3 linked regions of the Medicago truncatula genome follow. Each later gene encodes a partner of the first gene's protein in a complex. Links are inferred from orthologs where the notes say so. Each region holds a gene or a part of one and is shown on either strand. Other genes may lie near its edges. The genes, in order: actin-related protein 2/3 complex subunit 2B, actin-related protein 2 and actin-related protein 2/3 complex subunit 3.

Region 1 (10,710 bases):
TTTGGTCTGTTCGATTTCTTCTGAGTTTGTTTGGTGCAGAACCTGCATGTAAGAAGAAAGAATTACCATTTGTCAAACCACGTCTAGCAATTTAAAGTGAATGTATGTCTGTTGCACAACATTATTGTTTCTGGTGTAGGAAATATATGTAGCACCAACCAACGCTTCAGATTGAAGGTGTGTCTGGTGTCCGACACCACATCAACTCATGTGGTTACATTTAATTATTTATTTGTCAACTCATTACTAGTGTCGATGTGTCATTGTCTGTTTTTGTGTCAGTTCTTCATAGCATAACATATATTTTAGTAGGCACTTTGAGGGATCCCATTGAGGTCTCACTGTGCACATAAAATTTCAGCGTTGCATGTACATGAATCTTTGTTTAAACAATAAACGTATTGTGCAATTCAGGTGATTGCGTACCTCAACCAGATTTTCCAAACGTTTCCTCATCCTTCTTTGAATGAAACCTTTGGTGCTCTGTAGTACAAATGTCAGTCGAATATGTCAGAAAAATGTGATTTTCAATTGGAAGTAGTCCTTATGAAACAATATTATTATTATTATTGTTATTGTTACCTTTACATGGTATCTAACATTGGCATTAAAATTTAATAGATTCCAGACAGTTTTGTCTAACCTATTGCCTTCAATATGCCGAGAAGAGATATCTACAAAATACCAAAAGAAAAATGTTAATAACTTCGCGGATGTCTTGGAATCCATCTTCCTCAACATTTCTTGTCTCGATCTCATTTTATTTGATTTTAGGTCCTGTTTGGATAAACGGCTTGATATGCTCTTGTAATATAAATACTTATCATATAAGTGCTTATGTATAAGTCATTTCTACAAAAAATGGTAAAATAAAATCAATTTTTTATACACATAAGCTATAAGCTGTTTTCATTAGCTATTCTGGAAAGTTTATGAAAATGTCGTAAGTTGTTTCCATAAGCTCTCTCAAATAGTCTCACAAGTACTTATGTTGGTATATAAGTTCAAATAAGTCAGTCCAATCAGATTCTTAGAGTTCAAAACTATGATCATGTAATCAAGTTATCGCTTGTAGAGAAGTAGTTCATGGAGTAATTGCTGAAAGAAAATAGTATACCAAAAGAGACAAACCCTCCATTTGTACTCAAATCCTCTAAAGCTTCTCCTGTCAACTCTGGTGGAGGAATGGCTGACCAGGTGCAAGGTGGTGTCTTTACCCATTTATCTGAATTTCCAACATCCACGAGCTCCTATCATAGGTAGTAAAACAAGTGAGCTGAGAGTATATTGGGTTGAAACTAGATTACATATTTTTGATTTCTTAGCTGCAAACCTGAAAGAAAGCCGTGGCAATAACGACGTCGAACTTTTCTTTGAAACGAATTGGGAATATTGCTATGATTCTCTGTTGCTGTATGCAGTATATGATCAATATTGAATCAGTAACTTGTAAGGCATTAGAATATGAACAACTTTTGCTGACCAAATACAATGGTGAGCTGTCTTTGGTTACTAGTGTATCATTTTTTGCTGGAATGTAACTAAATTCGGAAATATTTTCTAAACACCTACAAAATATAAAAGGAATAGATTTTCATAAATAGTTTTGTTGACTACTCAAACTGTGATTTATTTAGAATCAGTAACTTACTCCAAGTTGAAATAATTGATTGATGATGTGATGCCTCACAAGTTTACAGTATCAATATCATCATTTCATGTTGGTCCTCACAAGTTTACAGTGTCAAGCCAGTGGTAAGGGTTTGACCTATAACTTTATGGGATGTAGTTCGAATCCCCTTGGAGACCGTTGTAAAATGACTATTAGTGTCACTTTGATGATTAATAATAATGTTTTAGGTTGTTTGTATGATATCATTCCATATAATGGTAATCTTGTTCATTTTATTCAGAAGTCTGTTTAGAATCACTTATTTGAGTTTACCTACTGACAAAAACAGTTGTGAGACTATTTGAGAGGACTTGTAGAAATTAGAAATAGTTTATGACATGTCCATAAGTTGTTTTTAGCTTATTTATATAAGCTCTCCATGATAGCTTATGATAACATCTTAAAGTTTTTGTAAAAACAATTCCACTTTATTTTATCTTTTGTTATCGAAATAAGTTATACATAAACACTTATATGATAAGCTCTTATAGGATAATTAAGTCTCTTATCCAAACATGACTTTTTTATGACAAGTTCAAAGCTTTGATTACATAGAAATTACCTGCCTGATGACAAAGAAGGGTTCTCTTGGATGATAAACTAGTTTGATGGGTTTGTACATCCCCTGAGATGCATCATCAGAATTCACATTACACAATATTTCTTTCAGCTGTGAACTTATAATTACTGATTGAACTGTGGAAATATCCTCAATGACCTTGACATAGTCTGGAAACAAGAATTTTTCATCATCAGACAGGTTAAAATTTCAACTTAGCTGATGTGAAAATCAAACATTAGCAAGCTGTATAGACTATAGACCCAAAATTATCTGAATCCACTAAGCTTTTAAAGGGCATTAGTTGAACACAAATGTAGCAATATTATCAATTCTGCACAGCTCATGAAATAGTCTGTTGAGTATAAATGATGTCTTTAGTTTTGAGCCGTCCAACCGTGAAACCAAACACGGTCTAATTAACATAATTTTCAATTCACTAGTTAATTCTCATTTGAAACAAAACTACATCATCAAACATCACTTTGCAAGTTTACAAAATGAAAACTTAGAAGCACTAATGCATATAAATTTTTATTATGCAATGTCATGATTATCATTGGTCTTGCTTTTTAACAAGTAATTATTATGCAACCCAACCACTGAAAGTTAATTAAGGCAAACAAACCTTTGTTTCTTGGAATCTGATCTAGGTTAAGCTTTAGAGTAAGCTGGTATCCTTCTCTAGCAGGTTCTTCAATCTCCACAAGGTTGGGACAAATTCCCTTCACCATTTCAATGGTGTATGGTGAAAGATTATTTGGTAGGTTTCCATGGTAAAGCGGTGGTGTTGATATTGACAAGTAAGCCACCAGTGGATTAGTGGCTTGAGACTGTAAAGTAAGAGAAAAATTATCAAACTTTAAACTGAAGCGAATTTCTTTTCTCAGCCCCTCATTTCTCAGAGCCGTCTGGTTGGTCCAGATAATTCAGACCAACCAGAGGCCTTTGAGAAGTGCAGGGTCGGAAAAGAAACATTGCAAAAATTATCAAGTAGCCATTAGTAGATCAAATATCAAACTCGTATAAGTGAGTGGAGGAGAGTTTCACCTGAATGTGGTATTCCACTGATCCAAATTCGTATAAGTGATGATCAATCTCTATAGACTTCTCAGCACTGTAATAAAGTGATGAATAAGCATTTCAGCAACATTTTCTAAATGAAGCATTGCAACAAATCAACTATCCATCTTATTCTAATTTGAGCATTGATGCTGACATTTAGGCACATACCTAAAGATATTTATCAATTAACTATTTGAAAAATACATATTTAATTATTCATTTTTCTATCTTTTCTTAAATATGTGGGCACGCCCAAGTGAACTGTCTAAATACTTGTAATCAACCAAATATTTTTCTTGGTAGTCTAAATCACTTGTTTGATTAGGAGTTTGTGTTTAATGACTAGTGTTATGTTGGTGCTTTGGATGGTGATAGGGGTGGTGTGTTTGTTTTGTGAGGATTTCTCCAATGGTCACACAACCATTTGAGCACGATATTTAGACACGCTCACATATTTAAAAAAAAATAGAAAAGAATTAAAAAATGTGTATTTTAACACAATTAAGTGTGTACTCAAATGTTGTGTCTAAATCATTGTGACCATATAAATATTTTCTTAGTTTAGTGCTTGCAAAAATATCTTAGTTCTCTTCTCTTATGTGATGTTGATATAGGGGAAGCAGTTGGTTTGATAACAATTTTGGAGTATACATCAAATCTTCAATTTGATAACATAGATTTTGCATTAGAGTATAAAAAGGGTGTGGATGCTTTTAGAACAGATGTAAACGATAATAGTGAATTTGGTTGTATAGTAGATACATGTAGACAGTTGTTTTAAAATAGATTTCAAAACTCTCATGCCGAGATTAATAGAAGGCAAGCTAATGAGGTTGTTCACTAGTTAGTTCAAATAACCTTATATAATATTATTTTTTTTGGTAGTGAGCCTCATATAATACTAATGAAATGCATTGAATTGCTTCCTTAAAAAAAAATCCTAATTTAATTATTGTTTGGTTTTGGGTGTTGCGTGCTTCTTAAGTTTTGAGTTGTTTTGTTTGACTTTTCATGATATAACATTTTTATTTTTCTTAGCCTATATTGTACTTCAAATTTGAGTATTGATACATTCTTTTGACTTATTAAAAAATTCCAACTAAGATTTAAACAATAATTTATCACGTACATAGAAGAGCATCTTCTTACTTTAGAACAAAAACAACTTTCTCATTCCTCTATAAATTAAATACGGCTATATCTATATTTCAAAACGATAGATATAATAAACAACTTTATTCTTCATTGAAAAATACTTTATTCTTATGTTCCACATTTTATTAATCTTAAATTTAAATTCTTTTATCTTTCTCTCTTTCTTAAGCCAAAACAAAGAGGCTAGATATAATAAACAAAAAGAAAAGAACACAAATAAATTACAAATTTAAACAACTAAACCTTGACTTTTATTTTTATTTTTTAAATACTAAACCATGAATGAACAAGTATAATGTAAACACTTACCGATAAAGCTTGAGCAATATTTGTTTTAGAGCAGGAGATGATCTCTCAATGCATGCCATTCTGATAAAACTGTCTTCTTTCTCTTCTCAAACTGTGTTAATACACATTTTATTGTTTATTATGAACTATATACAATATGAAATTCTCAACTGTTTTTTGATTATGAAGTTTGAGTGAAATGCAAGTTCGGTGTTGTAATCATGTTTGGTAATCTTTGAAGCAAATCCTCATAGCCACCCTCTTCCACTCAACATTCTTTTTCATTTGCTTTTTTTTTTTTTTTTTTTTTTTTTTGTGTCATTTTCCCTTCTATTCGACTCCTTCATTTATATTAGAGTTAATAGTGTTTTTTACCCCTGTAATATATGTCATTTTCGGTTTTTGCCTCTATAAAATTTTCGGTTTGATTTGCACCCTCGTAAAATTTTTATTTTCCGAAAAACACCCTTAATAGGCCATTCAAAAACCAAAATTTCTTGAAATTTTTTTTGAAAAATGGCCTATTAGAGGTGTTTTCCGGAAAATAAAAATTTTACGAGGGTGCAAATCAAACCGAAAATTTAATAGGGGCGAAAACAAGAAATGACATATATTATAAGGGTGAAAAACACTATTAACCCTTTATATTAATTTGTCCTAAGTTCATGTAACTAACTGTAAATTATTATAAATCGTAATAAAACAATTTTTTTTTTTTTGAAAGAATAAAACAATTATTTAAATATATATAGAGATTCAATTACAAATTTTTTAGTTCAAGAAACTAATTAATATAGTATTGATAATTTTAGAGACAATCACAAGCTTTTTTAACATATTTTTTTAGAAAATATTTTATATAAATAGATTTCAACGGGTCGTTAATTTTTTTTTTTGGTAGATAGAAGAAATGGTAAAACCATCGTAAACTCATATATACAAGATGGAGGTACCGAGGTTCGAACCCCAATCATCGGTCTAACAATTGAGGTAGGATTTATGAGACAACGGCTCGTTAAAGTTAACAAAAACAAAACCGAAATGCAATTCCACACATGCTTTTTTTTTTTTTTTTGGTCAAGTAACCTAGTGGCTAGAGAAATTCACCTTAAAGATGAATAAGTTAGGTGTCCGGGGTTCGAACCTCAACCCCTGCACATTATCCCTTACCAAATGAGCTAAACTCATGGGGATCCACACATGCTTTTTTTAACAACTGTTGAATCCTCTAAATCTCCACTTCTACCACACGCATCCAAGCTAATTGCAAGCCTTCCAACACTCCCCGATAATTCTACCACATACGTAGAGTAGCTTCTTACAAACTTACTTGAACCACATTAGATTGACCTTGAAACAAAATAAAAGTAAATTAATTAATAGTACTCTCTCTCTATTACATATTTTTCCTTTTTTTTTAATCACATATATCTTATTTTGTTTTTTTTTTTTTTTTAAACTTGATATCCGATCCAAGAATCGACTATTTTGAGGGGATCAATCATTCTGCCCATGCGGGGATTCTATCTTGCATTATATGAGACCTTAAGAAGAGTAACCTTCAAGATCCCAAACCAAACATTAGGTCAATCCCAAATGGATTTTGAAAATGTTTACTATTCAATTTCCTACAGTTCAGTTATTTACGATAATAATATAAATGCATATTTTTTTTTAATTTCGTTGAAATGATTAATAATAGACTAAAAAAATAATTGTATTTTTTTTTTATAGTTCTTAATATCAATTTTAATTAAGATTTTACGAAATTGTGACAAAAGTGTATAGTGTAATAGAGTAAAAAAAATTGTGATTAATATCTTAACTACTTTCTTGGTTACATTATAAACAATTTTTATTTTTTTCAGATTCATTAAATAAATTATGTATCTGGACTATATTATATTTTAGATATATCATATATTATATTTTAGATATATCAATTATTTAATAAATTTTAAAAAATAAAAATTATTTATAAATGTGACCGAAACAGAGACTACTATTTAACTAAACAAGTAAAGTTTCCAAACAAAAAGTTTAAAATTAGATTTAAAATAGAGAACATCAAACATACAATTGAATTGTAAACAATTACTAACTGAGAAATGATATTTGAACATTCATTTGGTGATAATTATTGTGACAACTTTCTCTCTCATACTCACATTATTTTTTACTTTATCTTTCTATTGCTATGATTTCCGTGTCAATACTACTTTTTCTTTGTAAATTTTAATTGTCAAATAAGTTGTCACCAAATTAATTCTTCAAATAACACTCCTCTACTCAACCACAAGACAACGCTCATATTTTCTTTGCTACCTCTCACACCAGACATAGAGGTGTGTGACCTAAGAAAATATTTGTTACATATTATTGAAATGTAAGAATCTTGTCATTTAATCATTTAATGCAGTATAGGAATCTTGCGTCCATGTTCAGTGGATTACCTTTTAGGTCAGTGCAAAAGAAGCCAGAAGGGTTCCTCTCATTGCACAACGTATGAACCCCACTTTTTATGCTGAAAATGATAGTTTGTCGCAAAAAGGATGATGATAACAACACCACACCATTCTTCTGTCGCTATTAAATGAGAAAATAAAAACTAAGAGAAATGATATTTGTACAATTATTTTTTAACAACTTTTAGACAACTTTCACTCTCATACTCAAATTATATTCTTACTCTCTCTCTTTCTTTTTCTCTCTCCATTGTTTTTGACCAATGAAAAGAGAGAAAAAGGAGGTTGTCATAGAAATTGTTAGCAAATGGTTGTTCAAATATCATTGCTCAAAATCAAAATAGCCTTATAACATCAAGAAAGAATGAATTGTCAAGAAAAAAGACATCAACAATGATATATAAAAAAAAATCTTTTTTAAATCGTTATTTATATTTAATTAAATGAGAAATTGCTATAAATTATAGGGTTAAATATGTTTTTGGTCCCTATAAATATACCAATTTTTTCGTTTTAGCCCCTCTAAAATTTTCCTTCAACTTTTAGTCCTCCAAAAATTTTCCATCTTCACTTTTGATCCCTCTTTTAAAGTAAACTCATATGTAGAATTCACATTTTTAAATAAAAGTTTGAAGAAAAATTCATAATATTATAAGAATCTCTCCTAAAAAAATTTAGAATTTTTTAACAAAACATGAATTTAATATGAATTTTTATATTTTTGATGGTTAAAAATTCATATTAAATTTATGTTTTGTTAAAAAATTCTAATTTTTTTTGGGAAATATTTTTACAATATTCTACACATTTCTGCATAATTTAATTAAAAAAATACTAAAATTAATTTAAAAATAGGGACTAAAAGTAGTGATTGAAAATATTATAGGGACTAAAAGTTGAAGGAAAATTTTAGAGGGACTAAAACAAAATGTTGGAATATTTATAGGGACTAAAAACATATTTAACCCTAAATTATATTTGTAGACAAATTATTGAAATATAAAAGTATATCTTGACATATTTTTACTTAGCTTAATTGAACTTTTTCCCCTTCTATTTTACCATTTTAATAAGATTTTTTTTTTTTGACAAACCATTTTAATAAGATTGATTGCTCCATTTTTAAACTTAATATTTTGGCTTCTCTATTTTCATTTTTTTACGATTTTTCCCCAACCATTATTTCATCTTCAAAAATTGTGATGTTTAGGGTGGATAAAGATAAAGACATGTAGAATACATTTTATTCTTATCGGGTTATTTGTAACAACAGTGACGAAGATTTTATGTTTAGGTCATTGGTCGAAAATATTAATGTGTTATATTATATCTCTATGTTCGTTTCAATTGCAACTGTCTAGATTGTGAGTAGAGATTTGATGTCATTTTGTGGGCTTTTAACTTTATTTGTGTATTGTTGTGTAATGTTTTTTTTTTTTTTGACAGAGTGTATTGTTGGGTAATGTGTTGCCTAATGCAACCACTTTTGTTGAATTTCAATCATTCGTGTAATGTTCACGTGATGTCGAATTGATTTAATCTCATTGAATCATGAAAAGTTATGTAATTTTGTTGTTTATGACTTGATATAGTATTGGTTTTACTTCCTCTTGGATTGTCATTCTTAATTACAAGTTATAACATACCGAAAATGACTTGGTTTTATAATGCAGAATGCGTTGTCTACGTTACTGATAACAACGGTAGTTAACTACTGCTAGAAGAACGGTAGTTAACTACCGTTGAAGCCAACTTTAAACTGCAGTTAACTATCGTTGAAATAATAAAACGGTGGTTAACTACCGTTGAAGATAATTCCGTAAATTCCATGTGTTTTTAAACAATTACACATGTGAGAAAAGCTATTTTCTCATTTAATTTCGGTGTAGTTTTCTTATTTGTAAGGCCTTAATTAAGCCCACTTTGTAATATAAAAAAAAGGAATGGAGTGTGTTTTAAATAACAAGACAGTAGAGTGTAATATCTCTCTATGTTTCAAGGAAGATAACCGTAATTTACTCTAATAATAATAGTAATCATGAAGAAGATGATAGCTAACCATACATCATGGATTTCTTTACATGTAAAAAAATATTTCTTTAAATACAGATCTAAGTAAAAAATTGCAGCCTTAGTTAACAACTTATATCCTTGAATTCAACCAATAATTTGAGCGTCAAGGTTGAAGATCCGGAATCATGTGAATTTCAGTGACTTAGGTTTTATCATATTATTTGTAGGCATTTTGCCGTTTTATGCTATTAACTTGGGTGCTGTGAGTTTGTTTGCAGATTTACCATTTACGTTTTTAGTGATGTTTGTATATGATGTAATCTATCGATTTGAATGAATGAATATCGTTTTGTTTTGGTCTGGAAAAAAAAATTCCTTGAATAGGTAATAAACCCAATATAATAAAACCCGTGATCAAATTTAATTATGAGAAATACTTACTTAGTTATAACCACAAATAATTTTATTTGTATACACTCACACAAATAAAAAAAAATAAAGAAATAAACATTTATCTATTTTGTTATTTTAAAAGATGAAATGATTAGTATTTTATGTGTGTGCTCAAATACATTTTATTTATGATTGTGTATGTATTTCTCATCAATTATGAACAAGTTTCAGATTCTACTTAGCAACGTTCCAAAACAAACTTTCTTAAATAAGGAAAGACGTTAAGAATTCAATGGTGTCATGCAGGATGAAAGGACCTACCATAACCTGTAATGTAACCACACTATGCTGTCTTTTTGGATTTGGATCCTCAGCTGCAGTATCTTCTGCTGCAATGTCTACTGCTAAATTTGAGCCATTGGATTAAATAAATAAATAATTAAAATAAATAATAATAAAAATATGAAAACTGCCCAATTACATCATGTCGTGTGCGCGTTATTTTGTTTCTACCAGGGAAGTTATTCATTGTTGCTGCAAAAACTAACTAGCTTGTGCCAAAACACAAAGAACACTAATATTCAATTGCCCTTATTTACTTTTTCGATTGTCTCAAATCTCAGGTACGTCTATTGTTTTTTCTCCATTGGTCATAACTAATTTCATATGTTGATCCATTTCTTTTACTTGTAATATTTTTCACTTGCTTGTCCTCATTACTTATATAAGAAACAAATTATTTCACATGTTTGTCCTCATTCACTTTTATGATTACAAAAAACTAACCAACAGAGTTGAGAATTGATTTTAAAATGTGATACATTAAATATTATATATATGTTTCTTTTGTGAGTTATATATACTCTTTTACGTTAATTTAGATTGTTTATATTCATGTATAATTGTTTCTTTTGTGAGTTATATATACTCTTTTACGATGATAATTTAGATTGTTTATACTCATTTATAATTAAATAAGGTATACATTTGGCTACCGCAAATAAGATATACATTTTTTGTTTTTAGGAATTTTTAAGACTTTTGATACAAGATGAATGAAGATTGGAAGCCAAAAGTAGATATGGTTTTCTGTAGCTTTG
Region 2 (10,362 bases), on another chromosome or scaffold:
AAATTTGGTTCAACCAAAAGCAATGCAGGAAAGTAATACTTTTCTTTTAAAGAATTGATTTAAATTATCTACAAAACTATCAGAGTTGCATATCTCCAAACTTCATGGAGCCGTTAAGGATATGTTATGATATGATACAGAGACACATGCATACATTCATCTACAATGACATTATAAATTGTATATTAAATATTAATGATTAAAAAATAAGCAATCCATAAAAATGAAGTTATGAGCAATGCTAAACAAACTGATGACAATTTTCATGCACTGAACTGAAAGAACTAACTGCAATAACATCCACAGAGTTGTGTGAGTAAGTAATTATCCAAGAAAAAGGTCTTCTCTGTGTGAGTAAACTAACAACAAACTCTTGTTTTTCTAGGCCTCCACATGGTGCTTCCCCCTTTGTGATTGTAGTATGAATACTTTCTATGTACCAGATGACAGTGTAATCATGACACCCTACAGGTTAAGAAAAACAACTCATCCATATCCAACTTGGGATCCGTCCAAAGTTACATCCAACTCATCTAGGAACGGTTTGCAACAGGTTTTAATCCATCCAACTCATCCATAACCAACTTTGCAATAGAATTTCTCAGCACATATAGTATTTCTGTGTCGGTCAGTATTTCTTAAGATTAACATACAATATCATTTAGAATATTTATGAAATTGTCAAATGTTTGATTTAGTTACTTAACTCATCAAATCCACCAATTGTTATGAGCAACCAAAAGGACATAAGCTTGTAGAGCATGACAACATAGTTATATAAAAATATAAGAGATAGGACCCAGCAATAACCATTGCAGTGACCAGAATTATAATTAAGAAGCATAGACGTTAATTAATTACCACATGAGTGACACCATCGCCTGAGTCTATAACTAATCCAGTCAGCAAACCTGAGACAACCAAAGAAATGTTATGAATGCACAAAGAATGCATACTGATAAAGGAAAAATAAGTTTCCCAAGAGACCTAATAATAAAGGAAGCGCGAATTAGCCCTATTTCAAAGCCTTGCAAATTAGGATATATAACATTGCTGCATATGGTTTATAAAACAAAATCATAATGCATTATAAAATATCAAAGGTTTGTAAATACGTTATAATTAGAGTTTGTAGTTTCCAAGAATGAGTAATAGCAATTATGAGGTGTAAACTAATTAGGATGAGGTGAATAAACAACAAAACATCAACCTTCACTCATCTCTATAAGCACCTTGAGCATATAATGTTAGAACAGCTTGGATTTGGATAAACACTCCAGCAAAGTTGTACTTCTCAAACATTGTCTCCACCTGCCAGGTCAAATCACATAAACAATTACTATGCAAAAAACAAATTAGCAAAAGGTAACAAGATTGGCCCACAAACCATTTTTTCGCGATTCTTTGAGGGATTAAGAGGCGGATCAGTGAGTAGAATCTTACAGTCTTGTGGGTTAATCTGTCAAGAAAAATCGTGTACCAGAGTTAGCTACGAAATCAAATATTCACAGTTGAAAGAGCAATGAGAAAGAAGCACCAGAAGGTTACTTTTAATTCGTTGTAAAATGCATGATCCCACACATGACACATGTCATCCCAGTTTTGGACGATTCCATTGTTCACAGGATAAGATATATCAAGCTGATGCCGCAGGTCTGCACATCCTTCGCCAACAACAATATCCTAAATAGAACATAATTTAAATAGTAAATAAATAATAAATCTCACAGAGACCCGAGCAACATCTTAAAAACGGGTAATTAAGTGTATATGTAATTGTTTATGATGTCTAGGCTTAAGGCCTAATTCAACAATGCAAAACTGACTAGTAAGACAAAAACAACCTAAGCAAAGCATTATAAACACTACCTAGGACATATCTATAGGCGATATTTTCAACACACTCCCTTAAGTTTAGAAATGGACATTTGAATTCTAAAGTGTGGATTACTGTGGGTGGAATAATGGGGATACGTTCTGATACGGAAGTGCATTTATCTGCAGGCCCAAATGTGAGGCCGACTGTGTGGAGGGTCTATTAGAGGAAGAATAAGAGAGAAAATGGAAAAGCTGAGCTGGAAACTTGTGTAACAGAATTGTCAAGCGCATGAGCATGAGGTGCTGGTAGTTCCGAATACATGGGAGCAGTAGGGAGTAAGAAGGGTATCGAAAGAATGAGTTACATTTTATATTGGACAGAGAGAATCACTCTGTAAGGAGCATTGCTCTTGGCAGTTTAGGGATACTTATTTTTAACTGAGTTCATCATTTCAATCAATAAAATACAATCAATTCCCTTCAAATACTTTCCCATTGTTCATTTCCACTTGTAGATTTCTATTACATTCTCACGCCCACAAATCGACATTTGGAGCATGGAAAATTGCAGGCAGTGTTTTCGATGGCGGATAATGGAATAAACGAAAGGCCAAAAGTTCGCCACATAAGCAAGCAGTTGGCCTGTGGTGGGCATTCCTGCGCAAACTATCCATGGCAGTTTTCAAAAATTCCACCACGCCATTCCGCCATGCTGCCATTTAACAATACTGTGTGCAAGTGGAAAATTCTTGGCCTAATAAAAGATATGAATTAGACTCTAATATCATCTTAGAATTTGAAATTAGGATTTAACTAAACCCCAAAAACCGACATTTGAAATGTGGACAAATGCACGTAGAATAACATAGTGCAATGAAACTGCCAGCAAAGGCAAGTCGATTAGAGAATGGTGGATCGATAGCTGAAGGAAATCGACAGCAAGGCAATTACAAGGAATCAAAATTAGGCTAGAGGAAGTCATGAAAATTAGGAGGTGAGAGGTGGGCAAAGGCAAAGCTAAACTCATGGCTGAGAGATTGTTTGAATTGAGAGGGGAATGTGAAACCAAGGAATGGATGATTTATGAAGTGAATTCACTCCTTTTCTATCCCAATTCTCTCTCTGTGATTCTTCTTCTCACTCTTTAACATTGTCATTGATGGTATAAGTTACTCTTCCTCCTACTTCACACCCTACGAGTTTTTTTTATTTAGAATCAGCAAAATTTATTCACGTCGAGAGTGTACAAGATGCACAACAAACTCGCGGACAGAAAAACAATAATACAAGGTCACCGACATACCGGAAAACCCCAAAAACACAGCACCAATATCAGCCCAAAAAACCTAGTCTTGCTAAAACAAATGACAGCAGCCGAAAACATGCTGCATCCCAACAAAGCTTATGCTGTTATATCCATTACTGACAGCAACCTAACCGCAGGCACCGCATACCACAGCCTCAGCCTCGAAAACACAGCGCCCCTAACGCAGCAGACATGCTTTTGGATTCCAGTGCCACTCATAGAACAACCACGCCGGCCCTTGCAACCGACTTAAACACCATCTCCACGACAGAACCTTTACATCCTTCATTACCTCCTCCACTTCACCAATCGAGTTGTTGAAAATTATGTCGTTTCGGGCCCTCCAAATACTCCACACCCCCGCATGTCAAATCATCCTCAAACCTTTCCGGATATTTTTGTTGGTCGAAACTCTATCCCAACAATCCCAAAGAAAGAATAAATTAGGTGGAGTCGCATAATGAAAACCCAGCCATCTCTTAACTTCATCCCACACTTTCATCGCAAAAGAACAATGTAGGAACAAATGGCTGGCCGACTCTAGCACCCCATCACACAGTGTAAAGAGCTCTCCGGTGGTAAAACTTGCCTATGTGCGAGGTTCGCTTTTGTTGGGATCCTATTATGAATAAAAATAAATCTTTTTTATTTTATTGTCATTCTATTGTTATTCAATAAAAATAATAATCTTCTTCTATACAGAGATCTTGGACCAACAACAAATCTGGAATAAGCTCTTATATCATCTTACAGTTTAGGCTTAGGGCCTGTTTGGATAAACAGCTTATTTGCAGCTTATAGCGCAAACATTTATCATGATAATCGCTTATGTATAAGCTTGCATAAGCTACTTTTATAGAAAAAAATAAAATGATGTTAAATTCTTTTTTATATGCTATAAGTTGTTTTAATAAGCAACATATGAGAACTTGGGAAAATTGTCATAAGTTGTTTTCATAAATTTTCCCAAACAACAACAACAACGAAGCCTTATCCCACTAAGTGGGGTCAGCTACATGGATCAAATTACGCCATAATGTTGTATCATAAACCATATTTGGATCCAACTCATTAACCTCTAAATTTTTCCTAAAAGTTTCTCTTATAGTTTTCCTAGGTCTTCCTCAACCTCTTCTGATCTACTCTTGTAACTACAGTATCTACAGTCTCCTTCGTAAATTCTCCCAAACAGTCTCAGAAAACTTATATCAGTAGATAAGCTCAAATAAGTCAATCCAAATAGTGTCTAACTCATCCCACAAAAATGGTTTATAACCACTACCTCTAATCAATGTGTGACTCTCAACAACTAGGAATGGAAAATCACTAATAACTAAGAACATTGAAATTCATAATAATAATAATAACAACCACATTTGATCTCATAGATCAAACAAGTTACATACATATCATAATTGAAAAAACTTAGTAATCATGTTTTGCATACCTTTAGCTCTTGCTCGGTAAGCGATTCTTCGTATCGGAGCATTGGCCTCCCCACCACACAAGGAAAAACAGAAGTCGGGAAATTCTCACCAGCAAAACCACACTTCACATACTGAAATTTTAAATAGAAACACAAAATAAATGATGAATTAAATAAATAAAACAATTACATTATAAGTAGAAGAAACATAAAGTGTTAAATAATGAAATGTATAAAGTTTGATGCTAATTTGAGATCGGTAATTTATTGGATCCATTGAAATGTAGTTTGATTTTGAAATGAATGAAGAGATTGAAGAGAGAGAGAGAGAGAGAGGTACTCCGGTTCCGTTGTCGCAAACGACGACGTTTTTGCTGTCCATGATGAGGTGCGATCGGTAGAATTGGGTTTCAGTTTGAGTTCGCGCGGAGATGTGAGCAGCAAGCACGGTTGGGGGGTGGGTGGGGACTCTTTGTTAGAATGTCTAGTCAGTGGAAGTTGATTAAACGACTTCACTACTTTGTCGTTTCATTTCTTAATACTGCAAAAACTTTTTTTTTTTTTTTTGAAGGTTTAATACTGCAAAAACATGAAACAGTAATGGTCTGTTTGGTAGGTATGAAATAGGCAAGAGAGAATAAGGAGAGAAGAATGATTTTTCTCTCATTTGGTGCAAAAGAGAAATTAGGGAGAGAGATAAAAGTACTATGGGTCCCACCTATTTTTTCTACTTCGTTCATGTGCGAAGAAAGAGGGAAGAGAAGCAATTTTTGGATGTTACTCTCACTATGCCCTTGTCTCCTGCCTAGTTTTTTTATCAGATTCAAACTTAATTGTTCTAATCCAATGGTGAGTCTGTGTAGATATCCTTCCTTGAGCCTTCTTGATATTGGGCAAACAATATTCTCTTTTCTCTTTGCAGCATTGAGACGGTTTTCCCCTTGTAAACTTATCAGCACATTTTCGTGTCGTGGTTTCACCATTTCTCAAATAGTCATCCACACTATCAGCAGATGTTTCATCTGCCAACATACAAATAACATCAGTGCATTTTTTTATGGGTGAAATATTTGATCTACCCGGTGCGTCAACCCTCAGCTGAAAATACTCATCATGTTGATCAAGAGTTTCAACTATGTGAAGGAAAACATGTTTACGCATTCGGTACCTTCGACGAAATTGCTCATCCGTGTAAACTAGAGCTTCTAAAAAATAATCATTGAATAACTGTTCATGTCCTTCTTCATGATTTCTATGTTTCTTCTTTGGCGTCTGGACCTACTTGAGCTCACAAACTCTTCTTGTGTATTACTTTCAAAGTAAATCCTCACAAGGTCTTCATCCATGTTGTCATTCATATAATCCATGAATATTTTTGCAACATGGGATGGATTGGAAGGATCCATATGAAGAGAAGTTTGATATTGAATGTGAATAAAGAGAGAAGTTGAAAATGTTTTTTTTAAGGGAATGAAATTGGAAACGATTGTGAAGTTTGTTATATATGTTATAACATGTATAGGGATATGAATAACTGCTAGTTTGAATAACGGCTATTTTGAGTAACGGTTAGTTTGTAACTGCTAGTTTGACTAAAATTGAGTTTGAATAACAGCTAGTTCAACTAAAATTCATGATTTTAAATAGTGTAATAGGGTTTATATACAATACACGTCTCAAATACTATAATATGGTTTATACTTTAATTGGTTGCAATATTTCATTTTATTTCGTTCCTGCGTATACTATAATTAGTCTTACACATTGACTGCAATATGCTGCTCATATTTCTTGAAGCTTTTTTTATATTTCATATACTAAAACTATAAAAATATAAATTAATAAAACATAAATAATAATTAAGTACAACATACATAGAAATTGCTAATCATATACTAAAAATTATAATATCCCTCTAATCGATTAAGTCTAACATAAATAATAATATCAATTAAGTTCATATTTATGTCTAATCATGCCACACAAAAATTCATAATCTTGTAATTACCTTGTATTCCTATTTGATACATCCTTTTAGAGTATTGTTAAATCATGATCTTCATCATTTCCCTATCATTCTCAGTCTTGTGTAGCTCTACATCAACCATTTTCATCTCTCTCTCAACTTTTTCACTCTCAGTACGTGCAAAATCACGCGCAAACCTTGACATTAATTCAAATTTTTTGTTCAAGTCATTTTTCAAAGCATCAAATTTAGGAATAGATATATGCACAATCTTTTCATTTTCCTTCCTTTTGGCTGATTTTTGACCAATTTCACGTGATGGTGGATTGTATTCGCTTGTTGGTGTCTGTGGGTTAGAAGATGACAAATATGTACTTGGGTTCATCTTTTAGTAATCTCTATGCATTCTCAAATGTGAACAAATACTACTAAAAACATAATAACAATATACTCACTTTGTTCCAAATGGAAAACTAAGTTCTTTTATGTTTTTGGGAGCCAAATAATCCAACCTTGAATATCCCCAAACTTGCAGGAGAAAATTACAGCCAGCTAAGCATACAAATTTAGGGTTTGTTGCTTCACACATTCCCCGATAAAGATAGGCCAAAACGACTAATCCCCATCTATATTGTTTTGTATCATTAAAATCAACTACCATGGCCAACCAACAATTATGTACATTATTCCAGATAAATTTGAAAATAAAAAACCATTGATTAGCCATAGAATATACCGCCTAGTAACTTGTATTTTTATTTTATCCAACACATCGGCAATGAGGTCTTTATTGAGATTTTGTGCTAAATGTGACATTGATATAGCATGTTTACCCTCTTTTTTATTTCGCAATGGAATTTTAATCCCAAAAAATCATCATACAGTGGCCTCTCAATTGATTTTACACCTGTAACGACATATCCACTAACATTTAGACCAAGTAACATGAATACATCTTCCAAGGTGATGGTGCATTCACCCGTTGGAAAATGAAACGTGTGTGTTTCGGGTCTCCATCTTTCAACTAGAGCATTTAGGATATGTCTATCCATTTTGTACTCTTTTATGTTGCTAACATGGAGAAAACCTGCTTGGTCTAAGAGTCTGTTTGGCCTGCCTTTTCTTGACTTCCCTTCTACTTTAAAGAAGAAGTAGGGGCAAACAACATTTGGGAGAAGCTCTTCCTAAAACAAGTAAATTATTTTCAAAGAAGAAAAATTTAATTATAGGAGCTTCAATTAAAGGAATTGAAAGGAACTTTGTATCAACTTATGCGCTTCATTTACATGTGCTTCCATCTTCGAACCCTGGTAAAGACAATTTTGTATTATTATTTTACTAATAATTCCCTACATATGTATTACTCACATATCACCCAGTTTATTCAATTTTTTTTGCGGGATAGTTTTGTACTTGCAAAAAGCACAATAAGAGATTCTAGGGTTAAGAATCGTAAACTAGGGTTTAGACTGATTATCCGATCCTTGAGAATGATCTCAAGAGTGGTATTTATAGCATGCTGTGGGCTTGGGCTCTTGTTGCTTGGTTTCCAAGCAACATGGGTATTTAGGTACTTTGGGTGGTTTCTAGAAGCTGAAGAAGGCGGCATCCTTCAGGAGGACGCGCCTAAGCCCAAGGAGCCTTCTGGAGGGTCTTTGGGCCCGTCCGGAGGGCGTTTGAGTCCTTCTAGAGGGCTTCTAAGCCTTGAGGAATATTATGACGGTCCAAGTTTACTTCAATTTATCTATTATTCAAGCAAATTTTATTTTATATATCAGTTCATTTCCCTAATGTTATAAAATCAATATCGTTATACTTTTTTTACAAAAAGAAAACTAGAATTCCTAAAAAATATTCTCTCATTATAATCAACTCAGCATTCCAACAATATAAACATATTTTCATCTTTTTTCATTCTTTTTTTCTTTGATTTTTCATTATAAGGATTTTTCAATGAAATCTAGATTTATAGGTTTGTGTGATGAAGATATGAGTTTGCTTATGATTTTTTTTTTTTAGTTTTAATCTTTTTAATAAAGGAAGGATCGTGATGTTGATATTTTATAACATAAATGATTAAATAAAAAAATTAAGGGACAAAAATGTTAACTGAAATTAAATTAAAAGATAAATTGTATAATTTTGTCAAATAGATACTACCAATCAACTTTAACTTAATTTATAAAGTTTTTTTAGCAACTTTAGTTTTAAAGTAGCTTCTAGACTTTCAAAAAACTGGGCCAAACACACCCTAAAATTAGTAGACTGGTTCTTTGTGTTTTTGTAGATGAGAAGTTGAAATGTTTGTTGCTTTCATCCTAATAAAAATAAATAAAGAGATACTCCCTCTATTTTTTATCTTTTGATGTTTTAGCTCTTGGTACAAATCTTAAGAAGTAATTAAAGTACATAAATATTTGTATGTTTTGGACTAAAATGTCCTTATTATAATTAAATTCACATGTGATAAATCAAAGGTCACAACTCCTTTAATAATTTTATGGTGTCTTTTTCAACAAGGGTAAATTTGAAAAAAAAATATTACATATACTAAAACATTAAATATTTTGGAATATAGTTGAAGTTCTAAAACATCAAAATAACAAAAACGGAGGGAGCATATAAGAAAAAGGTTAAAATAAACATAATAAAAAAAATATTACATAATTATTAACCGAATATAAAACTGAATTTAATAAGCAACATAATATCAAAAACGAAATTTAAAAAAAATAAGAGAATAGAAAAAATTATTAAAACAATAAAAAACAAAATAAAAGAGATTTAAAAATATAATTTTACCCATTATCTAAGGTGTTGTGGCCTAGACCTATGATTATCTCCTAACCATAAATAATTCATTGTTTAAGAAATAATTGAGAAGACGGGTAATATGAGAATATTGAGTGTAAAAATAAGAGTTTGAGAGCGGTAACTTAAGTGAATATTGTGAGTAAAAAAGTGGTATTTATGCATAAATTTTCAGGTGAAAGGTTGATAGATAAATTAATATGTCGATTGTGAGTTTAATGTTACGAGTTATTAAATTGAGTTATTAGAGTTTGAAATTGTAGTGTGTTTTTTAGAGTTATTAGAGTTTGATACTGTAGTGTGATATTACTATTAGAGTGTGAAGAATTGTTATTTCGAACAGTGTAATTATGTTGAATTTGGAGATAGGAAAATGTTACATGAACACCCTTTATTCCTATATCCTATTGTACACCCATGCATTAGAGATATTTTGGTAAGTTCATCTCACAACCACATTTTATCTTCTATTTGTGTGGGGTTTAAGTTGCCGCATGTCAGAATTTTGTGTGGATGTAAAAGGTGTATTGTCACATGGGGTGGTATATATATCATCCCTCTTGAAGATATTAGAAACTCACTTGTCATGAATTAGGATGTAGTACACGGAATATGTGACACTGTTGAAAGTATCAATAGTAGATCAAATAAGAAAAACAACCTTCTACACCCTGCAAGTAAGTTTTGTAGGGGCCCATAAATAGAAGAAAAAAAAACAAATTTCAGGCTTGTTGTGCTATACCCACAAGTGAAAACAACTGGGAAATATACCACTCAAGCGAGGTTAGCGGGGAACAATGGAAAAGATAAAAAGTAGGGTAGTTTTGCAATATTTTTTCATGTATTGTAAATATAGAATTCTTTTTTCAATATAAGTCAAACAAAAAACATTTGCAGCTGAAATTGTGTCGATCTTGCAGCTACCGCTTTTTTTATAGCGACAACATCTTTGTAGCATCCAACAAACTTTTGAACAGAGGGATTAATCTTTTTGTGCCATCAACCTTTTAGCTTCATTGGTTTCCTATCTTGAAA
Region 3 (10,744 bases), on another chromosome or scaffold:
AATCGTATTCCATTAAAGGCAGTGGAAGCTTCAAGAAACGTAGTGAGTCTCAAAGTTCTATCAATGAAGATAATGAAGGTGGCATGGAACTCATGGAAATTGGAGCAGAAAGAACAAAAAATGTGTTGATTCTCATGAGTGATACTGGTGGTGGACATAGAGCTTCTGCTGAGGCTATTCGTGATGCTTTTCAAATTGAATTCGGTGATGAATACAAGGTACTTTAATCACACTTCCTTCTGTTTTGGATCTGTTGCAGCTTTTGTTTTAAACTGTGTAGATTTTGTTGTGTTAGAGTTTTCTGATCTGTATATTTTTCTATGGTTCACATGTTTTTGTCGTGTCTTACACTTTATTTGTACGGATTTTGTCGTTAGGTACAATCTTTTTCTTGGAAGCTATCTCTCTAAAGTCTTAAACTTATGTTTATGTTTATGTTTATGTTTGTATGCTAATTTTGAAATTTCAGATATTTGTTAAAGATGTATGGAAGGAGTATACAGGGTGGCCATTGAATGATATGGAAGGTCAATATAAATTCATGGTTAAGCATGTTCAGTTATGGAAGGTTGCGTTTCATAGCACTTCCCCTAAATGGATTCACTCTGTCTACTTGGCTGCCGTCGCTGCCTACTATGCAAGGTATATTCCTCTTGTAATGCTTTATACTTTCATGATTAATTATGATTATTTCACTTTGCTCACTATTCATTTGTTGATAATTTCTATAATAATCATTCTTTATTGCTTTGTTAAACAGCAACAATTATTTGATTTGACATCTTTGGAGAAATTCATTTTAAACAAATAAATATCAACTAAACAGTTGATGTCATGTGTATATGAGTAACATGATATGCTGGAACATCTATTGTTGACTTAATTAGACATTTTATGTTTATGTAATCATAAGTGGTGTTTTCTGATTGACAAACTGTCATTGTACTGTAATTTTCAGAGAGGTGGAGGCAGGGTTGATGGAATACAAGCCAGATATTATAATCAGCGTCCATCCCATGATGCAACATATTCCACTATGGGTTTTGAAGTGGCAAGGTTTGGAAAAGAAAGTTATTTTTGTCACTGTTATTACAGACCTTAGTACCTGCCATCCTACTTGGTAAGTTCATGCTTCATGGTAACTGGTTGTTTTTCTTGCCTTAATGTCAAGTCGATTAATTAATGCTTAAGTACTCAAATTTTTAAGCTTTTTGCAGGTTTCATCCTTGGGTGAATAGATGTTACTGCTCGTCAGAGGAAGTGGCAAAAAAAGCCTTACTAGAGGGACTTGAGGAATCTCAAACCCGAACTTATGGCTTGCCAATCCGGCCTTCTTTTGCTCGTGCAGTTCTTGTTAAGGTATTAAGCATATTTAAGGTGTAAGTAAGTTCTGTTTTGATCTCATTGATGGAACAGTGGAACTGAGTTTCTGTTTATTGTAGGATGAACTAAGAAAAGAACTTAAGATGGATCCTGACTTGCCAGCGGTTTTACTGATGGGAGGTGGTGAAGGAATGGGTCCGGTCAAGAAAACTGCAAAGGCTCTAGCAGAATCACTATATGATAAAGAAAATGAGAAACCAATCGGGCAGATTGTAGTCATATGCGGTCGCAATAAGAACTTAGTAGCTTCTGTGGAAGCTATCGAATGGAAAATACCAGTGAAGGTAATAACTAATGAGGGAACAATTATCTACAAGTGAGCATAATAGGAAGACAGCCACTGAAAAAATGTTAATGTTTCTTTGTTTGTCTAGGTTAGAGGATTTGAGACAATTATGGCCAAATGGATGGGAGCATGTGACTGCATCATATCAAAAGTAAGTTATACCGATTTCCTCTAATGATTTCATGCAGGGTTTTAAAAAAAGGTCCAAAGGTGATGATACAGGCTGCAACTTTATAGTTTTTGACGTCTTTTTGCGTTTGAGTCTGTATCAGTCACATATGATTGCAATTATATGCAATATCAGAAAACGCGACTTAAAAACCCTGCTTTTATATGTTACTTTATATGCTAGCATATGCTTATTGATTCTGTGAAATTTCAGGCTGGACCAGGAACAATTGCAGAAGCATTGATCAGAGGTCTTCCTATAATCCTCAACGACTATATCCCTGGACAGGCGAGTTATTAAATTATTCCCGTCATTGTATTTCTTACTTTCTCATTCCAACCTTATATTGATTCTGAGCTACTATGGTAACTACAGGAAAAGGGTAATGTGCCTTATGTGGTAAACAATGGAGCTGGTGTCTTCACTCGCAGTCCTAAGGAAACAGCGCGAATTGTTGCAGGATGGTTCACGACAAAACAGGACGAACTAAAGACAATGTCAGAGAATGCGCTTAAATTAGCGAACCCTGAGGCTGTGTTTAACATCGTGAGGGACATTCATGAACTTGCTAAGCAACGCGAGCCGGGGAACTTTCCTTACGAGTTGACCTCATCATTTACTAGCATAATCTAATTGATTGTTTATCGGTTCATCTTTCACCTTAGTTTTTTATTTTATTTTATTTTTAGAATTGACATGTATAGTGAATTCTTCAAGTTACATCATTCTTTACCGTATAGTGGCTTGCTTTTAGTATCATCATAAGCTAAAAATCTGGTAAACAGGCCATTGTTTTAGGAGACTGGGATTTATTTAGGATATTTGTGGGAGAAGATGGGTTTGTCTTGTAACTGTGACATGGTTTCGCATTCTAGTGTGTATATCAGGTTTTTCTTCTCCTTGGAACTCTATACCTTAAAGAGTACAAGTTTTCAGCTATTCCGCAGTACAAGATATCTTTAAGAAGCATGTCATATCAATTCTTACCTTCAAAACCTGAATAGTTTGCAGTTATAAGGTTGCTTAATGTCAATAACAAAGTGTAACATAAGGTGATTATATTTTATATATCCTTACAGTCTTAGCTTTGAGACTTTAAAGGCATGACCAAAGACAATTTGAGCATAAGCAAAGAAATCAACGTATTTTGCTTGGATATTTGAATGGACAAAACTTAAATGCAGGAACATAAAGAACATACATTGCATATAAGTGTTGCCCTTTTTGAATTTGCCGCATTTCTTATGAAGATGAAAATATAACAGTGAAAAAGAAGGGTAAAGTTGACACTCTTTTAAGCTATAGTATGTCCATTAATATAGATTTCAATTTTACCAAACACAATCACACAAGTTTATACTTTATTGTTCTGTTTAAAGTGACACGTATCATGAGTATCAGAACTACCAGCAACTGCAAAAAAAGCAAAACAGAACAGGGTGTAGAAAGCTGTTAGATAACATGCGACCAAAGGACTGGTAGTTGTTGATCCTTGAAAAACCTTTGAAATACTATCTTAGAAAATGAAGCAAAAAAACCAGAAATATATATTGCTTACTAGTAAACCACTACTTATTACAGGTGTTTATTGTCAACTGTTAGTTGGTGACAGATTGTTATCATGCGAAAACACATACATTGATTGAGTGAGACAAAATAGCACTGTTGTTTTAAACTGTATTTCCGCTTGCACTTGATCATATATTATTTTTTTAGATATATATGCCATGTTGAGTAAGATAAAGCCAAAAAATAAGGTAAAATTCTACAGCATATATAGCAAGGAAACCGTGGTTATTATTTTAACTTTGCCACCACTAGGATTTGGAACTAATGAATTGAATTTGGAAAATGATTCTTGGTGTTGATGTCACATAAAGTTCGTAATGTGTAGTACTTCCAATATTTCTAATGTTTTTCTCTACCTCAAAATTCCCAAGTGGCCAATAGTATATTTATTTTTGTTGAATGCGACGTATTTTAATACTCACACACGATGACCACGAAGATGTATAAGCAACATCTGGATTAAGAAACATAAATATCTGGAAAATGAAAATCAGATGTATATTATTCGGACGCAAACAAAGTCTATAAAATACATTCAATAAATATAAAAATGAAAAGCGTGTGTTGGCGTCAACTTTTGTGTCGATTTCATATTTCTTCATAAGAACATAGCATGTTTATAGCTCAAATTTTTGTTCTTTACAAAAAGCTTAGCAACAAAACTCACATGTTTATAGGTCCATAAATGTGTCCTACTATCTTATCAAAAAGCTTAATGGTAAATCTCACATCACATCCGCCTGCGGAGAAAGTGAGCATTGCAAGTTTAAACATTTGTTCCATCCAATATATCAAGTATCCCCACAACCTTTCATCATTTGGATTGTATTTATGAGTTATAAGTAAAGTCAAAATAAAGATTATTCTTTGATCAAAATTTGAACTCAGTTCTACCGATTCGATATACTCATTACCCACTCCATCCAACCACGTGGTTAAAGTTAACGAGTTAATAAATTAACTCATATATTGGTTATTTATTTTATGCTAAATCACCGTCAACGATTCGACATTGATGGTTTTGTGCACTTTTGATTCTACCTTATAAAATTTTAATTTTTTAAATTTGATTTTAGTAAAGTGAGTTGAATACAGGGTTGGTCCTAAAAAAATTTGGTACCTTGGATGAAACAATAAACACTAACCATGCCTTATAAGTGAAATAATACAAGGGAGTTCAAAACAAGTTGATGGTCAAAACCATCAAAAGAAAAGTTTGACAGATATTTTTATTATTAAGAAAATAATTTGTATTGTTTATAAAAGAAGCATGTGAAGTCAGCAATCTTGGCATTTAGGCTGATTAGCTATTCGTCATCATCACTCATAAACATAGACAAAAATTAATAATTCTCTTGATGTTCCCCTTTCTTAGTATGTTGCGTGAGGGCAACCGTTAAAAAGATAATATATCCAATGTGAATTTTGTGGCAACTTGCGCTGCAAGGCAAAATATTACCTGTCAAGAAGGTAATATTGGGGCCATGCTTGCATTGGACCTGAAATTATTGTGGTAGCAAATTCACACCATTTGCCGTAATAGCAAAGGTCAGCCATCGATCTATGTTATGACGGTTTCAAATTCATAGCACAATTTTCAATAGTGTCACACAATGTTAGATCTTAACTGTTCATTTTAAATCGAACGGTGCAAAATATATAACTACTATGTCCCGTAGTAAGTGCGTTATATCCAAATCCTACTTGCATTATGAGTGCAAAGAAGGTTTCAATTGGCCAAATGAATTTGAGTTTTAGGTAGTCCAGGCCACATCAAACATTTGTTTTTTTTTTGGTTAATTTTTTATGGTATCCGACTTAACAATTTCGATATTTTGCCAGTTAAGTTAGAACTTGTGTATCATCAAACATCCGTTCAACATTAATAAGAATAAATTATTAATTTACTTTTGAAAAACCATCACTATCTCTCGAATTTTGTCCATAAACTATATAAATTTAATATTTAAATATGAATTTGATATATGCAACTATACAAGATGGTATTTTTTTTTGTGTGTTAACCCTCCACATCATCTCTAGAAGAATGAATTTTGTAATTCGGAGTTCGTATGGAGATAAATAAAGGTCAACAAGAATTGTTACACAAAAAACTAAACAAATTCAAATTCTTCTTAACAATTTGTCATCAGCGAAGTTCATTAATTAACTATCTGACTTGATTGTTTGATTAATATGTTTATTCTAATAGTAATAAAATTAATTTACCCTACATGAGTAGCACATCTTTGAGTTAATTTAATAAATAATGGAAAATATATTCAATATTCAATGTTTTTAAAAATCGTTTTTTAAGTGCAGTTTAGTTGATAGTTCCATGAACATTAAAATACAAGGGTCAAATTTAAATCCTAAACTTTCAATTTTTACTGTGAGTCTAACTATTAGACTACTCCACAACAAATTTTTTTTGTCACACAAGTGTGCACTCAATGTATTAATAGTAAAAAAAAATGGTTTTTATTTATAGAGCACAAAGACCAAGATGAATTCTAATATGGTCACAAGATCAGATAAATAGTGTTTGAACATACATATATAAAAAATATATTTTTAATAATATAAATGATATTGATAAAAAAACAATTGAATATTTTGAAGATAATCTTTTATATGTATATGTTCAAGCAATATTTATTTAGTCTTAAGAGATAGAAGAATAACTCTACCCATAAATAAAACTTGTGCCTTAGACATAAGTTAAGGAAAAAAAAAAGAATTAATAAATTAATTTTATATTAAAAATATATTTCTTAAACTTTTTACATCATTAAATACACGAGTTCTAAGAATTTTTTTTATTTTTAACTTATTAAGTTGGTGCTTTATGAGCGAGGGTTAACATTTCCCATAAAGAAATGAATAAACTACTCAGATCCGATTTTACCAAAGTTTACGTGTTGACAATCCCGATTTCATTCGATGTCCCAATAATTCTTCACTTCAAGCTCTGCACAATTTGTTTTAATCAAACTTATCATCGAAATCCCAAACAAGTGCATACTATTTACGTGCCTGTATTGTTTCTTTCACATTTCCACAAACATTTGGTGGGTTTCAATTCAATTCTTTGAGTTCTCACCTAACCTTCTTGTTATCATCACCACATAGAAACATGGTACGTCAATTCATTTCATTCTTATTCCTAATAATACCCTAATTTTGATTCCCAATTAAATTAATTGTTTGTTTATGTATGAATTAAGGTTTATCACTCTAGTTTCGTAGACGATGAAGGAATTAACAGAGCTTGTGGGTGCCCTCTTCTTCCTCTAAAAAGTCACATTAAGGGTCCAGCTCCTGTTTCAGATCAAGGTTTTCCTTTTCCTTTTCAATTCATTGTTTTTTGTTTTCTGCGTTTTTCAGAATGTGAAATATGTATTTTGTTTGTTGTGAATGGTAGATAGAACTGATATTGTGGATGAAGCAATCACATTCTTCAGAGCCAATGTGTTCTTCAGAAACTTTGATATCAAGAGTCCTGCTGATAAGCTTCTAATATACTTGACTTTTTACATCAATGTTGCTCTCAAGAAGCTTGAAGGTTGTAGAACTTTGGCTGAAGGAACCAAAGCAATTATCAATTTGGGTCTTGAAAATGTTCCTGTTCCTGGAGAGTCTGGTTTTCCTTTTCCAGGACTTTTCCCTCTTCCTCAATCACACAAAGAAGCAGGTACCTATTCCACACATATGCTTAGTTTATTTAGCGATCTAATGTTGCAATGTGTTATGTTATATTGTATCATTAGTTGTATTTTGTTAAGTAGTTTCAATTGTCTTCGAACTTGTATTTATTTCATTCAGTTTCTTACTGATGGTTTTGATGATTTGATAGAATCTTTACATTTGCTACCTTAATATACTTTATAGAGAAATGCTATTTGTTACGAAGGATTTATACAAAAAAAAAAAAAAAAAAGAATTCCTAAAAATAGGAGATTTGAACGATCAGGTTTTGGCTGACCATACATTGGGGAGTGGGTGGTTATTATTAGGAAGAATTACATAGTATTCTTGTGTTTATTGTAAACCTTCTCTTGTAGCAATAAGCATTTTCCTACTTTAAATCACGTGATTAAATGAGTGGCTGAGTGTGCTTATGTCTCGTTGCATGGCTTTTGTTTGAATGATAATATACTGTATCACTACTTGCTTCGGTTGACACTAGGAAAATAGACAACAACCATTCCTTGTATTTTATGGTTAGATATGCATATGATTACTGTAATTAGTGAGTAAATACCCAAGTTGGTCATTGAAATTGCAAGACTTTATCAACCTAGTCCTTCACATAATCAATATTCCTAACTGATCCCTGAAATTGTAAAATGTTACTCAACTTCGTTCTTCCGTATATACTATCAAATGCATCCCTGACATTATTCACTTAGTTCCAAAATCCTTCTTGATATTACCAACTTAATGTCATTCTAGTCCCTACAAATAACAACAATGGGACAGATTTGATGAAATTTTGTAATTTCAGGGGCCATTTTGGAATATCGATAATGTGAGGGATTAGATTGGTACAATCCTACAATTTCAAGGACCAAATTGAGTATTTACAGTACTCTTTAATTAATCATCTAATATTGTGATGTGTTATGTTCTATTGTATTATCAATTGTATTAGAACTTCGAGTTTTTTCATTTAATTTCTTACTGAAAATTTGATAAAATCTTTACATTTACCACCTAATTCCCTTTAAATCAACAGAATGGCCAAGTGTGTCTCATTTGCGACTTTTGTTTGAATGATAACACATCGTATCTAAATATCAATGGTTGGTTGGGTTGATAATAGGAAAATACATGACAACAATTCCTTGTATGAACCCCTTGGATTAGTCAGTCCTTGGGCCAAATACCGAGTTTTCAAAAAAATAAAAAAGGATATTATGCATAACACCGGAATGAAGCTAGATGGGCATGTGTCGGTGCCAAATGCTGATGCGTCGGCATTGGTCATGACTCATGAGACTTCTAATTAAATACTCAAGTCTGGAAACTCTTGTTCAGAAAGAGAGAGGTTCATTTTAAATAATTGAACAATTTCTAATTGGGTTACATAATCTGGATGTTGTAAATTTTGCAGTGGTCCTTAGGTGGACTGGGTGTTTGGATTTCAACTGCAAGAAATAGAGGATGATAAATTTTTCCCACGATAGAGTACAATTTGTACTTCCCTTATAGTGAAAGCTCCTGAGAATGAAAACTTCAGTTGTATTTCTTTTTGCATGTGAAATGAATTTTCAGAATGTACTTATACCAGTATATTAAGGTTTCTTATTTCCTCTTATATTTTTGTCTTTGAGCCTTTCTGTAGAGTCAAGCCGAGTGCATTTTTACTTATTTATGCAACTAGCTGATGATCTATCGATGATTGAACTGTACATTTTAGCTTTTGGTTTTCTATTAAATGTGACTGTAACCAATGTTTCTTGATGCAATTGCATTTCTTTACATGATAGTTTGATTGGAAAATTGTATACATATTGAGATAGCTGACTGTACTCCACATGCTGGCTTACAATGAACTTGATTTTTTGTTGTTTTGAGAGGACATTGAACTTGAATATTGTTGTTGTGTTCAATCTGGTTGATGCATTATTGCAATTCAATTAACTTGTTTGTAGAACACATGTAGTCTTATATGTAAGCTTTGTGATTTCAACAAATGCAGAATTGTTTAGAAATTATTTGAAGCAGATAAGGGAAGAAACAAGCGGAAGGTTACTAAGCGTTGCATACAGACCTAATGGCACTCCAAATAAATGGTGGTTGGCATTTGCAAAAAGGAAATTCATGAATGTAATCACCCGTTGAACTGTTTTGGCAAATATGTAATTGCTTGAATCATAGATTAAGCTGTCAAAAATACACTTCAACACTATTGATCTACCAATAAAAAAATATAATAATTCTTGAGGGGCATGTTGCTTATCTGTTTTGAATATTTTATTTTGAAAATCCTCAACTACTGCTAGCTAGGTAGAATTCATAATGGCAATCGTTTTCACGTCTACTTTGCTCCTCATGCTGAAGTGAGTGATCATAATTGGGCTATAACCCTAACCTTTGCTTGTGCCGGTGGTGCTGGTCATGTTTAGCTGTTGTATTGTCCATGAAGTTATAGCAGAATTGCATCATCTATACTACTGCTTCATTGTATCTCCAGTATTATATAGTATGCATTAATGTTCACTACTATACCTTCAAGCTTCAAGATTTATTTTACTTCTGTAAAAAAGAAAAGTTTTCTTTTATTTCATTTTTCAGAATACTAATTCTTCGCGGTTGTTAAATTTGATAGCTATTTTTTTTTTTTTGTTAAGTAGCCTAGTGGTTAGAGCTCACACAATTTAATTGTGGAGAAGTGGAGTGTCTGGGGTTCGAACCCCGACCCCTGCATATAATATGCAATATCTCTACCAACTGAGTTTAACTCACGGGGATATTTTGATGCTATTTTATTAGAGCTCAAACTGGTTTTTGCAAAGCAACTTTACACTCTTTCTAAAAAAACCAAACGTATTAAAGTGTACTTTCGGTTAGGAGAAAATTGCGTTTTTTTTTTTTTTTGAAGTTATATTTTTGGTGGAAAAGAATTTCTTTTTTTATAATATATAAAAAACATATAATTTTAGAGTGACTTTTATTTTGTTCCATCTTTAGAAGTGACTTTAAAACATTACCATCACAGATAATATTTGATAAAAGTACTATATTCTTTAAGTGACTTTAAAACATTTATTTAGAAGTGACTTTAATTTTTAAAGTTAATTTGCTTAAAGTACTTTTCTTGTTCTGTATTTAAAACATTTCTATAGCTTTCTTGATTTGTATTAAATAAGCAAATGCATCTGTCCTTATAAGAAAAAAAATACTTGATAATAACGAAAATATAAGTGAAAATCGGGAAAACGACAAAATGTAAATCTATTTTTTTAAGTGTATTTCATAAGGTTTCGTTATAACCATAAAAAATAAATTTTATGTGATGAATCATACGAAATAAAATAAGAAATACACCTAATATAATAATGTAATTTTGAAACGTAAAATTGTGAAAAAAATAAAAAGAAGAGGCGTGGAAGTAAATAAATAGGGGGTGCAAAGGCAATATAGCAGCAAGTCCAAGTTAGTTCGTCAAAACCCTAAAACGGTGGAGTACGTGAGTTGAGTTGAGTCCAGGGTTTACTCTTTCTAATCATCAATTCAATTCAACACCAAACCTATTGTTGTTGACTCCTCTCTCGCTCTCTCTCTCTTTCGGCAATGGCTGTGTCAACCCAATCTCACCTTCCAATTCTCTC

Evidence for each region.
Region 2: actin-related protein 2/3 complex subunit 2B (region 1) and actin-related protein 2 share a complex: the UniProt entries of both Arabidopsis thaliana proteins name them as parts of the arp2/3 complex. The link is inferred for Medicago truncatula from reciprocal best matches to the Arabidopsis thaliana genes arpc2b and ARP2.
Region 3: actin-related protein 2/3 complex subunit 2B (region 1) and actin-related protein 2/3 complex subunit 3 share a complex: the UniProt entries of both Arabidopsis thaliana proteins name them as parts of the arp2/3 complex. The link is inferred for Medicago truncatula from reciprocal best matches to the Arabidopsis thaliana genes arpc2b and ARPC3.

The regions. Positions count from the first base shown.
Region 1 is NC_053042.1:17,366,955-17,377,664, forward strand, and holds the start of actin-related protein 2/3 complex subunit 2B, read right to left. Parts: upstream 4,912-10,710; 5' UTR 4,820-4,911; coding exon 4,761-4,819; intron 3,349-4,760; coding exon 3,282-3,348; intron 3,065-3,281; coding exon 2,860-3,064; intron 2,402-2,859; coding exon 2,235-2,401; intron 1,412-2,234; coding exon 1,334-1,411; intron 1,251-1,333; coding exon 1,118-1,250; intron 675-1,117; coding exon 583-674; intron 484-582; coding exon 427-483; intron 43-426; coding exon 1-42. Other genes in the region: protein FAR1-RELATED SEQUENCE 5-like, read left to right, coding at 10,662-10,710. UniProt on the Arabidopsis thaliana protein: Functions as actin-binding component of the Arp2/3 complex which is involved in regulation of actin polymerization and together with an activating nucleation-promoting factor (NPF) mediates the formation of branched actin networks.
Region 2 is NC_053048.1:9,626,750-9,637,111, forward strand, and holds the start of actin-related protein 2, read right to left. Parts: upstream 5,059-10,362; 5' UTR 4,933-5,058; coding exon 4,891-4,932; intron 4,683-4,890; coding exon 4,572-4,682; intron 1,684-4,571; coding exon 1,549-1,683; intron 1,460-1,548; coding exon 1,388-1,459; intron 1,312-1,387; coding exon 1,233-1,311; intron 912-1,232; coding exon 862-911; intron 1-861. UniProt on the Arabidopsis thaliana protein: Functions as ATP-binding component of the Arp2/3 complex which is involved in regulation of actin polymerization and together with an activating nucleation-promoting factor (NPF) mediates the formation of branched actin networks.
Region 3 is NC_053045.1:56,010,062-56,020,805, reverse strand, and holds actin-related protein 2/3 complex subunit 3, read left to right. Parts: upstream 1-6,267; 5' UTR 6,268-6,543; coding exon 6,544-6,546; intron 6,547-6,634; coding exon 6,635-6,743; intron 6,744-6,831; coding exon 6,832-7,101; intron 7,102-8,523; coding exon of another isoform or gene 8,524-8,570; exon of another isoform or gene 8,571-8,896; intron 8,897-9,111; coding exon 9,112-9,254; 3' UTR 9,255-9,594; downstream 9,595-10,744. Other genes in the region: monogalactosyldiacylglycerol synthase 2, chloroplastic, read left to right, coding at 1-218, 470-642, 959-1,120, 1,218-1,359, 1,443-1,667, 1,758-1,820, 2,052-2,126, 2,214-2,471; nucleolin, read left to right, coding at 10,707-10,744. UniProt on the Arabidopsis thaliana protein: Functions as a component of the Arp2/3 complex which is involved in regulation of actin polymerization and together with an activating nucleation-promoting factor (NPF) mediates the formation of branched actin networks.